Linked DNA regions of Mytilus edulis. The protein of the gene in region 1 purifies or fractionates together with the protein of each later gene. This does not show direct contact. Links are inferred from orthologs where the notes say so. Each region holds a gene or a part of one and is shown on either strand. Other genes may lie near its edges.

Evidence for each region. The genes of interacting proteins can lie anywhere in the genome.
Region 2: the proteins of arrestin domain-containing protein 3-like (region 1) and octopamine receptor beta-2R-like purify together in Homo sapiens (affinity purification with western blotting; 6 studies listed by BioGRID and IntAct, with this or other methods). This does not show direct contact. The link is inferred for Mytilus edulis from reciprocal best matches to the Homo sapiens genes ARRDC3 and ADRB2.

Annotation. Positions count from the first base shown.
Region 1 is NC_092347.1:60,067,439-60,075,583, reverse strand, and holds the start of arrestin domain-containing protein 3-like, read right to left. Parts: upstream 3,083-8,145; 5' UTR 2,975-3,082; coding exon 2,716-2,974; intron 1-2,715. Other genes in the region: uncharacterized protein, read right to left, coding at 5,400-5,593, 7,158-7,232. UniProt on the Homo sapiens protein: Adapter protein that plays a role in regulating cell-surface expression of adrenergic receptors and probably also other G protein-coupled receptors.
Region 2 is NC_092347.1:83,094,078-83,100,693, reverse strand, and holds octopamine receptor beta-2R-like, read right to left. Parts: upstream 1,997-6,616; 5' UTR 1,887-1,996; coding exon 726-1,886; 3' UTR 601-725; downstream 1-600. UniProt on the Homo sapiens protein: Beta-adrenergic receptors mediate the catecholamine-induced activation of adenylate cyclase through the action of G proteins. The beta-2-adrenergic receptor binds epinephrine with an approximately 30-fold greater affinity than it does norepinephrine.

The sequences.
Region 1 (8,145 bases):
ACAATAAAATTATGTTGGAAATATATATTCTATAGTTGTAACTATTTTCATGATACCAATAAAAAAATTGAATTTTAATTTAAGATTTCAAAAGGTGACCACCCCCTAATAAATTCCTGGATCCGCCCCTGGTGGGTATTTTGAAATTACATAAAAAATCTAACAAGTGTCGGATTCTGGGGGAGTACACGTGCAAATAGAAAATGTCCGAAAAAAATATATAATTTTCTGCATAAAAAGATTTTCAAAATTTTTTCTACGCCACTGCTTCAGAAGAGACCAAATGACACCGAAACTAACACTTATAGGTTACTGTACGGTCTTTAACAGTGAGCTATGTCCATACCGCTATTAATTAAGCCCTGAAAGACAAATGTAGCACAATTCAACAAGTCAACTGATGGCCTTATTTAGGTACACAAAAAATAAATAACGATAGGCAAATATGTAACAGCAACAAACGACATCCACTGGATTGCAGGCTCATAATTTTGGTTAGGCCTAGGCATATACAGAATATGGCGATGTTAAACATGTTAACTGTACAACATAAGAGCAGGCTAAAAAATCAGTTTGAAAGGCTCAACTCATCAGGTGGATACAAATAGAAATAAATTTTACACAAAGTGAACGTGGAAGGGTCCTTGTACATCTCGAAAACAAACAGACACTAAATAGTAAATACAGATCAGGGAGTAAAGTACTGAAAGCTAGCTAAAAGCTATTAAAGACTAATAAATAATCATGCATCTAAGACTAAGTTATTATTTATAACACATCCAACATCCGAAGGATTTAGTGTGAAGATCATAAACAGTGGAATTTTGCTAATGATGTTATAACTTTGTGGGCATATATTTTTATCTCGATGATTTAATATGTTCTGACAAATTTAGGACAGTTTTATTTCCGAAAAAAATGATGGTTCGAAATATTAAATCGAAGATAATGAATGAAGCAGAAACAACGCAACTCAACAGATATCCTTCTCTAAACGTCTATTACAGTTACAGATATCTGTCTATACAGTTGCCCATATATATCTTCGCGATTTTTTGAAATGATAATTTCTCCATTTAGCGGTTGACCTACGAAAAGAAGCTTTGTATTTCAGTTTCAAACTTAGTTATACTTTAAATAAGACACGAAATACCGAAGAATAATACAGATCATCATTCAAAAAGTTTACACTTGGAAAAAACACAAAGAGATTACAAAGCATAAATCACACGCTGATAATTACAAACAAGCGTTGCGATTTAAAAAAAAACAAACAAAAAAAACCGCAGAAGATTATAAATATACAAGTAAGAGGATATGGTAGAATTGCCAATGAGAAGACAATAACATTCTTATAAAAAAATCTTTATTGCAAAATTACACCCATACGGGTCAAGCAATACATCAAACATTTTTATCGATTAGTATCGAATATCAATGCGTCGAAAGGTTGTCTACCAAAATGTCACAATGTAAGCGTTTTCATTTTTTCTTACAATTATTAAAAGGACAAGTTGTTACTATTAAATCTTCAAAAAAAAAGTAAAAACAACATAAGTATTTTGAAAAACATCACTATAAAATCAAATTCCTTTGTAAAAGGAACATGTTGATGTTAATAAAGTAAAGCAGAGAAATCTAAAAATCATCAAAATGAAGCGGTCGCATGGTGGTCTACCAATATGTCACAGCATCGCTAATTTGACGTTTTTGAAGTTCACTAAGTAAGGCGACGTATGTTCGCGTTAATGTGTTTGTACCATATTTATTTTACTAAGAGAATATATATAAATATGAATTTATTTTTATTTGATTTCACCTCGTTGAAATGCGTTTCTCTTTTTAATATACCATGATATTTCAATAAAATCTGATTTGGAGTACATTTTGATGAGACAGCAACTTAACAACAAATATTTATCATATTTACAAAAATCTTCCGGAGACCAAAGAGGTGAATAATATTCGAATCAATTAGAATAAATTAACGCAAACTTCGGCACAACAGCAATGAATCAAATTCGGAGATTTTTTTTTATATACTATTAAAAAAACCGAGTGGTCTCCCTTTCGGGTTCGGTTTTCCACCTATTCGCTTAGAAATGAAATAAATCGTTACGTTTTATACAGCTTGGAAAAATCTTTGTGTTTTTTATATAAAAGATGATTTACTTCAAACGAAGTCTGAGTGTCCATTCAAGAATTCATATATTACAGAGATATAAAGAAAAATAGCTTGCCGAGTTCGGGTTACCACTTTTACCAAGGTGGAAATTAATAAACCTTAAATTTTTGTTTGTTAGTGATGTTTGGACAAAAATCTTTTCATACATGAGATAGAATTAAATTATACATCAAATGCATAAACGTTAGTAGAAAAAATCGAAACGCAAAGATCATAATATATGTAAAATAGAATTCCGGTTTGGCAAATTTCCGGCAAATTCCGGTTCGGGTCCGGGTTCGGGTTACCACTTTTACCGACCACCCTTTTTCTTGCAGACTTTTAACTACTGTACATGCAGAGAATCTTGACAAACAAGGCAATGTTTCAGTGAGCCTATACAAGTTATTGGTCAGGCCTCATTTATATACAAATGTAGCTATTTCTACACTGGTAGTGCCCATAGTAGGGGTACCAACGACCTGACCTGTCTATGAAAATAGTTTAATCAGCTGTTCATTTGTGTTAATGTTTACCGACAAGAAAATTACCTCCTCCAAACAGAACTTGTCTTTTAAAGAAATATTCCACTTCTGCATTGTAATGTTCAGTGTAAGAACCAAGACGACTGCCTGTACTTCTTGATTCAGTCCAGTGTACCTTTGCTACCCCTCGCATAAAAATGCGCAGAGATCTCATTTTCATGTCGCCCTTCAGATCGACGACGACTTTCCCACATACTTTTTCGCCTGGGTGGAAAACAGATTTGTTTCCCGCAAGTATGATTTCAAAACATTTTAGTTTTCCCATTTTAACGCTATATAGGATCGTCTACAAAGATAAATGTAAGTATTTGTCCCGGAGTTTGTTTGTCGAGCGACATTTTGTTTTCCCCAATCACTGCAACCGGAAGTAAAACAGATGCTGGAAAATGACCCATAAAGATAATTGCGCGGGAAAATTTAAATTGATCAATGTTGATTTTAATATTTATTATCGATGACATCGATGTCAGACTGCGTGCTCAGACATATGTTATACAATATGTTTTCAATTTGTCAGTATAATAGGTAAAAAGTTATCTCACTGTATATTAAGTTATAAACATTGTAAATAATTTATAAGAAAATAGCAGGAACATATATATTATGTTAGATATACTGTTCCCAGGAAAATAGTAAACACTTTGAGAAGTAAATATACGGCTTTTCAAGTTGAAATTAAGACCCCTCTGCTATGTATACAACTGAACTCATGAATTCAACATGGAATCAAGGAAATTATGGGTAGGTATACGTTATAATGCAAACAGAGAAAACTATTTTTTTTTAATATTTGATATCTAACAAAATCAATTAGATAAATGAGTTTTTTGACATAATATTTTCAAGGAGTGTGGTAGAGTATCATTTAATTTAAAGCCCATTCTATGACGGGGTGTATGCAGAAAGTTACGTCTTAGTGTCACTATAAATTGTTCTTTTTCATAGACTTGAAAAGGGCGTATGACATTTGCGCCGATTTTGAAAATTTTCACTGATTCTTTCATTTGCGCCGATTTCATTTTTTCATTTGCGCCGATTTTATTTGTTCTTCTAATTGGATTTACAGGTAAGTTACAGGTAAGTAAATACGTTTACATGGGCTGAGCACAGAGTATAAAGACAAATTAAGCCTTCATTGGTAAATGGCTATCCCATTTTTTCGGGTTACCATTCCTTCCCCCAAATGAAATCAATGACTGCTTCACGTTTGACAATATGTCTGACGCTCCTTCTGATGACAAATGTCTTACATTCTTAGCATACAGACTAAGTACATATATATGCACACTGTAACGCTATCCACCTCATTTCTGAGCAGCTGCACCCCAACTTATATGTTTTTACAGATTTTATCAAGAAAACCAAGGCCGTAACGTATGTTAAAATGCGAACTCTATAGAAATGCTCGCATCAGTACGTTAGTCAGACAAAGAAAAGATGGACCCCGTTAGCGACAATTATAGGAATATATCATAGATGTGTTGCCTATACACACTCGACAAGAAAAAAAATATGATTTAAATGTATTCCGTTTTAATGGATTTGAATCCTTAATTTAGCATTAACAGAGTGCTTTTATCTTAGGTTTTTACTTCTTGATTTTAAAGTATGTTAATACATTTGTATATAGCTTTTATATTGATTTATCTTGCTCGAAACCCTATTTCAACCTCCCCGTAGTGAGCAGAGGACAACAGTTATATACATGTTATGATTGACAATTCATTACATTTATACAACTGGCTTACGGAAGAGGTTGATAAATGGTAGATGAAAGAGGGACTAAAGATTCCAGAGTGACAGTCAAACTCATAAATCGACAATAAACTGACAACGCCATGGCTAAAAATGAAACAGACAAACAATAGTACACATAACACAACATAGAAAACTAAAGAATAAACAACTATAAAATGACTGGGATAGAGAGTTGTTTCATTGGCACTCATACCGCATCTTCTTATATCTTTTCACCTGTGATTTACCTGTAAAAAAATCTGCGCAAATGAAAATAAAAATCGGCGCATGCAAATGAAAGAAAAAATCGGCGCAAATGAAAAACGCCGCTTGAAAACGCGAAGGTGATAAAAGGTGTTCTCTTGATATACTAGTAAATGAGTTCCAAAGTCTCCCTCGTTGCACATATTTTATCTGCCCAAAGGAAATAACCAATGAAGGACATCAAACTGTGATTAAATATCTTACAAGAAATGTAGGCATTTGATCGATAAAAAATGTTATTTTCCATGTATTTATATTTCCAAGGGCCGTGACTCCTATAAAATAGTTTGTAGGCACTCTTACAAAACCTGGCTGATATCAGCCTCATAAAAAAAAATTCAACAAGAAATGAGGTTGTGAGAATGCTCACAATACAATGTTCAATATCAATTAAATTTCAGAGAGACATAACTCCTGTAAAAGTAACTGATATTATATAATTATTTTTCTAAATCACCAAGACATTGCCGATATCATCTGATGATATCAATTTTCATAAAAACCTACAAGATTGCATGAATTTAGATGTGAGAATGCAAAAATGCAATTTAAAGTGTCTGCTTGTAACTTAGTGTTAAGAAACTAAAACAACATTTCCTTTTTTATCCAAAATGATTGTTTCTTTCAAAACAAACCTGACAAAACTTTCAATGAAAAATTAACATTGTATAATCAATTTTATTAAATAATTAAAAAATATTCTTGGTATAATTCAAGAACATGCTGTTCAAATAATCATCCATTTCATCATGTCCAAATCCAGCAAGTCTTTCACTATTTGCAATATCCGTAAACACATCTATAAGAACAACATTTCGAGGCAGATCGACATCTTTGTCCATAACTGAGGCAGAATGGAGGAGGAGCGCGGCGTCTCTCGCGGCTACAAATAAGAATATTTTTGTATATTTTCAAACAAGTAGGTACAATTAAAAAGCAATGTGGCGAAATGCGTCAATGACAAAGCGACCAACATCACAATGAAACTAGAAGCTATATCGGACGTCAGGTTTTTTTATGATATAATTGCTGTCCTCTTTTGACTCTCTGTTTTTAAAATTCCAAATGATTTTTTTTTACTGCTATGAAAATTTGGAGATGTGGTACGGTTGCAAATAATAGAGTAATTACCAGGTTGTTAATGAAATACCATTTAATACTATAATTCAAACGTAAAATGATATGCAATAAGAATGTAAAAAAATATACACGGCCTCTTTGTCAAATAGTTATTGTTATATTTTATAGCGAACTTTTCATTTAATCATCAAATATCATACCTTAAAAGACGATTTGCAAGCGTTTCTTCATTTGCGATGCTAGCTGAAAAGATTAAATAGATATTTTTTTAAATAATGACTTGTGACTATATTGAAATACATTTTCATACGAGTTATTGTTATAACGATTTTTATACAATTATATTACAATTGAAAAACACTTTATGGTTTATATGCTGATATAGTAAATTTTCAAGACAAAAATTGAACAGAATCGGGCATATAAAAGAATGAAAAATAAAGTAACGAAATCAAGCATGCATTTTAACGCACAAAAACTAAATTCGCCATTTTATTCATTGCAAAGACATCGTTTCAAGAAAGTCAATAACGTCTCGGTAGAAAAATGTCAAATTAAAAAAATATTCAAAAAATCAGATCTACTGACAACATTTACAATTAGAAACGAAACTCGTTAAGTCTTATTTTGAGATTGAGATAAAGAAACCAACCCTGGTTATATGAAATTAGTCAAACTCCAAACCAGCGGTAACATTTGTTTGCTAAAGTTAAAGCGAACGTATTGTAGCAAGGAGGACAATAACCAATGTTTCAGAGTTTGAATTTTTGTATATAGATATAGGAAGATGTGGTATGAGTGCCAATGATACAACTCTCAATCCAAATAACAATTTATAAAAGTAAACCATTATAGGTAAAGGTACGGCATTCAACACGGACCCTTGACGCACACAGAACAGCAAGCTATAAAGGGCCCCAAAAATTAGTAATGTAAAACCATTCAAACAGGAAAACCAACGGTCTAATCCTGATAAAAAACGAGAAAAGAGAAACACGTATGAATTATACATAAACGACAACTACTGTACATCAGATTCCTGACAGGTGTAAACATTTGCAGCGGGATTAAAAGTTTTAATGGTAATAAACCTTCTCCCGTTTCTGAAACAATAGTTTAACATCACAAGAAAAACACACTATTTCGAAAAACTAAGGATTTTCTTATCCCAGGCATAGATTACCTTAGCCGTATTTGGCACAACGTTTTGGAATTTTGGATCCTCAATGCTCTTCAACTTTGTTATTGTTTGGCTTTATAAATATTTTGATATGAGCGTCACTGATGAGTCTTATGTAGACGAAACGCGCGTCTGGCGTACTAAATTATAATCCTGGTACCTTTGATAACTATATAAAATAACTTACTTCCAACGAAGGCTAACATCAGACAGAGTAGAATACAAACAGAAATCTTCATGACTCTTGTTGACTGAAAGATATCTAGAAATGAAGAAGAAAGAAAGAATTAATAAAATGTGAGCATAACGTCTGCTGATACTGTTACCAAATGAGGAGATGTGGTATGAATGCCAATGAGACAACTATCTAACAGACCAAACTGTTTTTAGTTTGTAATTATTTATGTGGTTATTGTAAAACTAAAAATGCATTTATGATTTGAATGATCATGATTTCTTTTACATGTGATATATTCAATTTTACACGAGAAACTAGAAGTGAAAATAGAAAAAGTCTAATCTCCTGATACATTTGAAGATAACATTTATTTTTGCAATTACCAACCTCACAAGAAAAATCAACAACTTTCAGCAATTTCAATAAGGTCTTAGATTTGGCATGACGGTGATATCCTTATTAGAGTAACCTGTTTCTCATGCAGTTAACCAACTTTGTATAAATTGGGTTAAATTACTTTTTGTTTTTTATTTATACAAATACATTCTTGCAGTATTCAACTTCCGTGTAAATCGAACGAAAATGTTGAAATTATCGATTACGAAACAATTATTTTGTTCTCTCTTGAAACAAGAGAAAAGCTCGGCGAGCCTGTTTCTAAAACTCGTATTAATAGATTTTATATATTCCTACATTGTACATATATTTTTAGTTTTATGTGTATGTTTCTGGAGAACACAGACAGAGCCAATCGAAAAAATGAAGTACTCAAATAAAACTTTACATAAAAAACATGTATTAACATTTCAATTATACAATAAGCAAAATCGTCGAAGAAACGGTAAAAAAATATCGCGATTGGAAACATTAATGAAAAAGGCTTATCTTTCTTTGATTCGAGAATAATACAACAATAAGCAGATGCGGTAAGGTGTCAATTAGACAAATACCCACCAAAATCCAAATAAAGTGGATGTAAGCAATTAAAGGCAACTGC
Region 2 (6,616 bases), about 23 Mb from region 1:
TCTAGTTTGACATTCTCAGCCTTGATAGTTTGTCATGCCATGAACATGTAATCATCTCATAGATATTCAGACATGTACCGAATTCATAATAGACAACAACAAAATGATATTCATAGTTCATGTTTCTTTTTGTGAAAAAATACACATGCACAACGAACTTAGATATTTTAAATTGTACGTATAGCAGTTATGGACTTATGATACAGTCTTATTAAATATAACAGTACATAGAAAGCTTGAAAATGATCTAAATACAGACGGTCAAGACATGTTATTGTAGAGTCTTTAGTCGGAAAACGATTAATGTTGAAAATTCTACCCCTTTCGGAAGAGGTTTGTTGAAGTATCCTGCATGTCCATCTTTGAAACCAAATAATGTGTTTGTTGATGAATAACAACAGCAAGTATTATCATCTAGAAGAGATATGTAAATGCTGTTTTGTTTTCGTAATATGAATTGTTTTCACACTGGATATAGTTTCTAATAAAGATGTATATATTTCTGGATTTAGGATATCGAAAAAAAAAGCTTATACAGTCTATATACACTTTTAGTTCAAAAACGTTTTCTAATGTACCTGAAACAATTATGTATTGTATATCAATACTTATCAACGATAAAATACTAGCAACTGTAGACATATATATTATGAAGACTTTATTTTGTCACATGAAGTTTGATTGTATTTAGACCATATTCTGTTCTGACATTTTACATGAAATGCCTACACTGAAGTTGGTCCACCATTGCCATTAAGATAAACCAAGGGAACGTTAGCAGTGTCTTTCGTATCACCGGAAGAACAATGATTAAAATTATACGAATCAAATTGAGACTTCATTTTTAACAGTCTTTTAAAAGCTTGCCTAAATTCTCGATTATAATAAGCATATATAATTGGATTCAAGCACGAATTAGAATATCCTATCCAAAATAGAATTTTTCCTAGTATTGGTGGGTATGGACAAAAGTTTTTACACATACTTGTAATTAAATACCATGAGAAAAACGGGAAAAAGCATAAAATGAAAACGCCCATTATTATTCCAAGCGTTTTTGCAGCTTTATGCTCCCTTTTCATAGTCTTCCGATCAGAAATATCACGAGCGTTTCTACCTGGATATAAGGCATTTGATTTGTTTGAGCAAACACTAGCTGACCGGATATGTTTTTCTTGCTTTCTGGCTTCAATAAAAATCCTTATGTAAACAAACACCATTATAGTACATGGTATCCAAAATGAAACACTGGACGATATTATAGCATATAAACGATTCACAACAAAAGTGCAAGCATTCGGATTATTTTTCAACACAAGTGCGTTTTCGTGTGTTGTATAGAGTTGCGAATGAATTGGTATATATGAAATCAAGAGTGAAGCTATCCATGTAACGGCAATCATTGACAAAGCACGGAATTTCGTCATTTTTCTCTCATATTTTAAAGGTTTCATGATAGCTATATAGCGATCCATACTTATGCAACATATATGTAAAATTGAACTTGTACTGAATAATACGTCATTCGAATTAAATATGTCACACATAAATGACCCAAATATCCATTTATCACTAATTTCCATACTGGCATTGAATGGCATTACTAGAACGGCAACTAAAATATCAGCAAAGGCCAAAGATACGATGAAGTAATTTGTCACACGTGACCTAAGACGTTCGAATTTAACAACACTTCCAATTACTAATAGGTTCCCTGCTACAGCAGTGCACATGATAAGTGTCATGACTGTTGATTTTATCACCAATAAAAACACATGTAAAGATGTATGTGTTGTTTCATTAACTACAAAACTGTTATTTGTTGCGTTGTCATGTAATCTCAGCATCATCTCTGGCGATTGCAGTGACATCTGTGATTTTAACATCGTTCATTTCCAAACAGCATGAAATCATAAAAGACAAACCAACAAAGGATAATCTAAAACGTCATGCCTTTACAGTGCTTCACGTTTCTTTCTTCAATATCCCAATTACATAATCTGAAGTGAGAACAAAAGTACAATAAATATAAAAAGACAAGTAAATACATTTGTAAGAAGAAGTTTCGAATAGATTGATAAATGTAAAAGCTAAATATGCGTATGATGTTTAAGCAATAGGTTAAAAAATCATAATCAAACAAACAACTGTAATAACATTAACGGTACCAATTTTCCTGCACCAGATGCGCGTTTCGACAATACATGTCTCTTCAGTGATGCTCGTGGCCAAATATTTGTAATCCAAAGCTTATATAAAAGATCAAAAGCTATAATCCAAAAGGTCCAAAAAGTAATATAGCAATTTACCTCTTTGCTGATCTGTAACATCATGAGTGATGAAAATAAACATTAAAGATGTCTTGTTTAGTAAGGGTTTCCTATTTTTAAAATAAATGTCCAGCATAAAGTGAAAGGTGTTTAATTTATGAGAATCGCGCTCAACACAATAAACAAAACAAAACTTAAGAAAATTTAACTTCGCTAAAGAACGATGAACTACTTCGATCCCAAAATAGCAACTTTTACAAAGCATGATCATTATCAGTTAAACAAACAAAAACTATCGAATGGCGAACGATACAGTACTCCTACACTGTTTGTCAAAGCATGTGTTATTGTCAACATGTCTGTCATATTAACTCTTAAGCAGGAGGATAACACCAACCAATTAGTTCTAACAATAACTGATTAATATAATGTAATCCAATTAAGTTATAAAATTGTATCTTCTTATACGTCATATCTAAATTACTCTACCTAAATTGCATCTCCATGTTGCTTTTGACTAAATATAGAAATATTTTTTTTTAGAAAGAGGAAGAAAACAATTTGCAGGATATTTTTTAGTACAATACTGTATCTTGCTGATACTAGCCTTTTATGAAATGAATAAACTGATTAGTTACTTATCTCTTTAGCTGATAAAATAATGTATAAGATGCATCAATTGAATATTTAACATGATTTATTTTTTTGATCTAATAACTTATGTCTCTTTCTTCAGATTTCGATTCCATTATCTGACCTGCAATTCTGTATATGTAAAGATGAAAGGACTTATTGGGTCTACCTACAGACATGCAAAGTGTTTCTTTCTTGAGTTACATGTTAAAATTCATAATCAAATAAATTTAAATCTAAAACGGTCTTTTTAATCTGAACATATACAAATGGACTGAACAATAAATTGTTGTGTAATTTTAAGTCTATCAGTCGATTATCAAACTTATACACTGTGGCCAAATTCGTTATTATTTACCTGTAAATATCAATATTATACTGACTTGTTTAAAAAGCAATTGAACAGTGCTCAGTTGACTGCAAGCTAAATGTCTGAACAGTACTGAATTTACCACAGTGGACACGTCCGAAAATTGACTAAAAAACTAAACATGACTTCATATCATTGATCCAACTTTTCAAATAATGTTATGATGAAAATGACCTTTTCAAACGAATAATCTTTCACAGTATTTGAAATGTGATTTAGAATAATTGATGTACGAGGACTGACAAAATTAACACAACCATTATCATAATGTTTGAAATTCGTACAAAGTATTCTGAACAACATTAGGTTCGTTCCTAAGTGGTACTTTTATCAATGTGAATGTGCATCCATAATACTAACTTTATAACTTAAAAATATTTTTTTAGAAAGTTTTCATTCTGTGTGTTGTTAATATCAAAAGCATTCCGTAAATTAATGCAGACCTGAAGATTATTAGTGTGTCAAGAAAGACTCTTTGAAATAAAAATAATGTTTCACTTTCAAGAAAACATATTTCTTTTCACTTGTTTTGTTTGCTTTGTGGTCATCTTAATATTTCAACAATAGGAAAATTAGCAGTGTTATGGTTAATAAATTTTATATCTAAATGTTTTAAAATAAACTTAGTATCGAATTCATAACAGTGTGGCTATGGACATTGATTGGCGCACTTTAAACTGGGACAGATTAGGTGAACGATCGTCTATAACGCCCATTGCTCACGACGTCCTTAATATAAACATTTAAACCGTGGGGTCACCAAAGGTTCTCAACGCCTATATAAAATAATTCGAAATACTAATCAGGAATTTGTGTTTTGATTTATATTGATTAATTAAACGTCCTTTACTTGTGTTTTTGTTATGTTTCGACAATCAATTTTCATAATAAGATATCGCAAAGCCATGTTCTTTCAGAAAAAAAAATGACTTACTGAATGCATGTATTGATTGATTATCTTTTTCGGATTTAACAATTTCGATTGTCGAGTTATGTAATCTTTTAACTTTTATCTGGTCTAATTTTATTTTAGAACGAATGCATAATCCACTTTCAAAAGTTGTGCAAATACGAAACATAAAGACAAAATATACTTCTGCCCTGTCTTTTTCGTACTTGAAAGTTATTGGATAATAAGAAAGCTATTTGGATTAAACCTTGTGAAATTTGCATGCATTTACGTTATTGTATTGGCAAAATGTATCATTTGGTGTATATAGGAAACTTAAACCGTTCTGCTATACTGCTACTATACTTGTGAAAAACACTTGGCAACAGAAACGCATTCATCTTATCTATATAAAAAAAATCGACCCAATTTACATAGAAATGGACGTCTTCGTGCATTTGTGATCGCAAATAAAATATGTTCCGGACCTTATGAGTATTTGGACCTTACGTGTATGGTTGGACCATATTAGTATACCCTTATGGTCATGATATATGCGTATGGTCCAAATACTCATTTGGTCCGGAACACATACATGATATTCTGTGCGTTGTCGGTCGTCTATTAATTTTTTTCTTTTGTTGATGGATTTGACGTCTTTCTGTGAGTGATTATTTGTTCATGACTTAAAACTTACTTGCAAATAATTTAAAAACAAGACTTGATTTATAAAAATGTCCAAACAAACCATGATTTTTTTTTAAACATACATCACATCCATTGCAAAAGGCTAAAATTCGCCAGGTCTTTAATTTCAACTAAGTGAGTTGACTAAATTAATGTTGCGGACCATTTTCCAATTTCCATGCGGTATCCCTATTTTTTTTTCTCGCTCATCTTTTATGTTTGTTTTTTTCATCCCAAGACCTCTTTCATTCTATAAAGTGTGTATTTTGCTAATGGTCGACGGCCATACGGGGACCTATAGCTTGATAACGCCTGTTGGTCCCTGGAAAGAATGTGTCTGATTGTCTATCACACTTCATATTCTTATTTTAACATGCAGTTATATCTATGATAAGAATGAAAATTGAATTGTCATTGAGACAAAAACCCAACCAAAGAGCAAAAAAAAAAGAAAAAAAAAAAGCCCAAGGCAACATGTAGATCTTTCGTATCAAGGGAATTGCTATAAATATATTTATTTCAGGTTAATAGTATTAGGCCATACTCAAGTTATAAAATAGATCTTGTCGTCAACTTTTGCAACCAGCTTCTATGTTTATATAATGCACTGTTCATCTTTTTTGGGCTTCGACTTTTCAATTGGACAGACAATTTTGTTTTCGACTGTTTTAAAAAGATGCATTTTTTTACAAAATCATACAAGTAAGGAGTCTCTGGCCTTTGGTAGTGTTGTATGTTAATTAATGTTTGTTTATTTATTTGTTTAGGAAATAAGTATGACGTACATTTTCACTGAACTAGGACACTTTTTATAATAGTTTTTCGATATCGCTCGGGCAAAAATAATCACGAATATAATGCCTACCCATGCATTGAAAAAAACGGGTATAAACTACACAGTGCAGCTTCCAACAAGAATACAAGATTTATTGATTTTCAAAATGCGACCAAAATTAAAAATTTCCTCGCAGCGGAAAAAATTCAACAGTTTGATTTCATTGAAATAAAATAATTGTTATGATTTACACACCGTTACTTTTTCCAATACATGTATAGATATTCGAACTATTTTGTTTGTTGTTTCCTTATAAATTTACATCATTTTTAAAAAGACCACGCGTCTTCGATATTTAGAAGACTATAAAAGCGATGTTCATTAAATTTCTTCTGCTGTAAGTTTAATTTAGTTATTTTGTGTCATAATTGCCATCTCGTATGTTTTAAATTTGAATAAAGAAGATTCAGGTTGTCTTATACGTCAATGATACACACAAAAAAACACGATAACAAATAAAATAAGGTGCAACATTCGTTCTCCATGAAAAGAATACATCACATGGATGTAATTTTTGTAAGAAAAATACCAATTTCGTGAGAAGTTGTGTGTTGGACTTGAAGAGCCAAGGCAAACTGACAAATATCTGAATGAACGAATCGATTTATGGTATATAAAAAAAAAACAAAGCCCACATGGTTAGCATTGAATAAATACAAGGCCACTCTTAAATGACCACAACGTAGAAGTTTTTGTTCTCTTAATCAATAAGATATTTTCTGAAATAACGCGGGTCCCTATTAACTTAAAAGTTTTTTTGGTTTTTTTTACCATGAATAAACTTTTTTTATTATTATTATTTATTGATATCAGCTCTGGACATTAATATTCTTAAAAGTTAAACTGTTGTAAGTGATGTTATAACAATTATTTAAAATAAATTCCTTAAATGATTTGTGAAAAGAAAGTTTCATTTTATGTATCAGAATTTG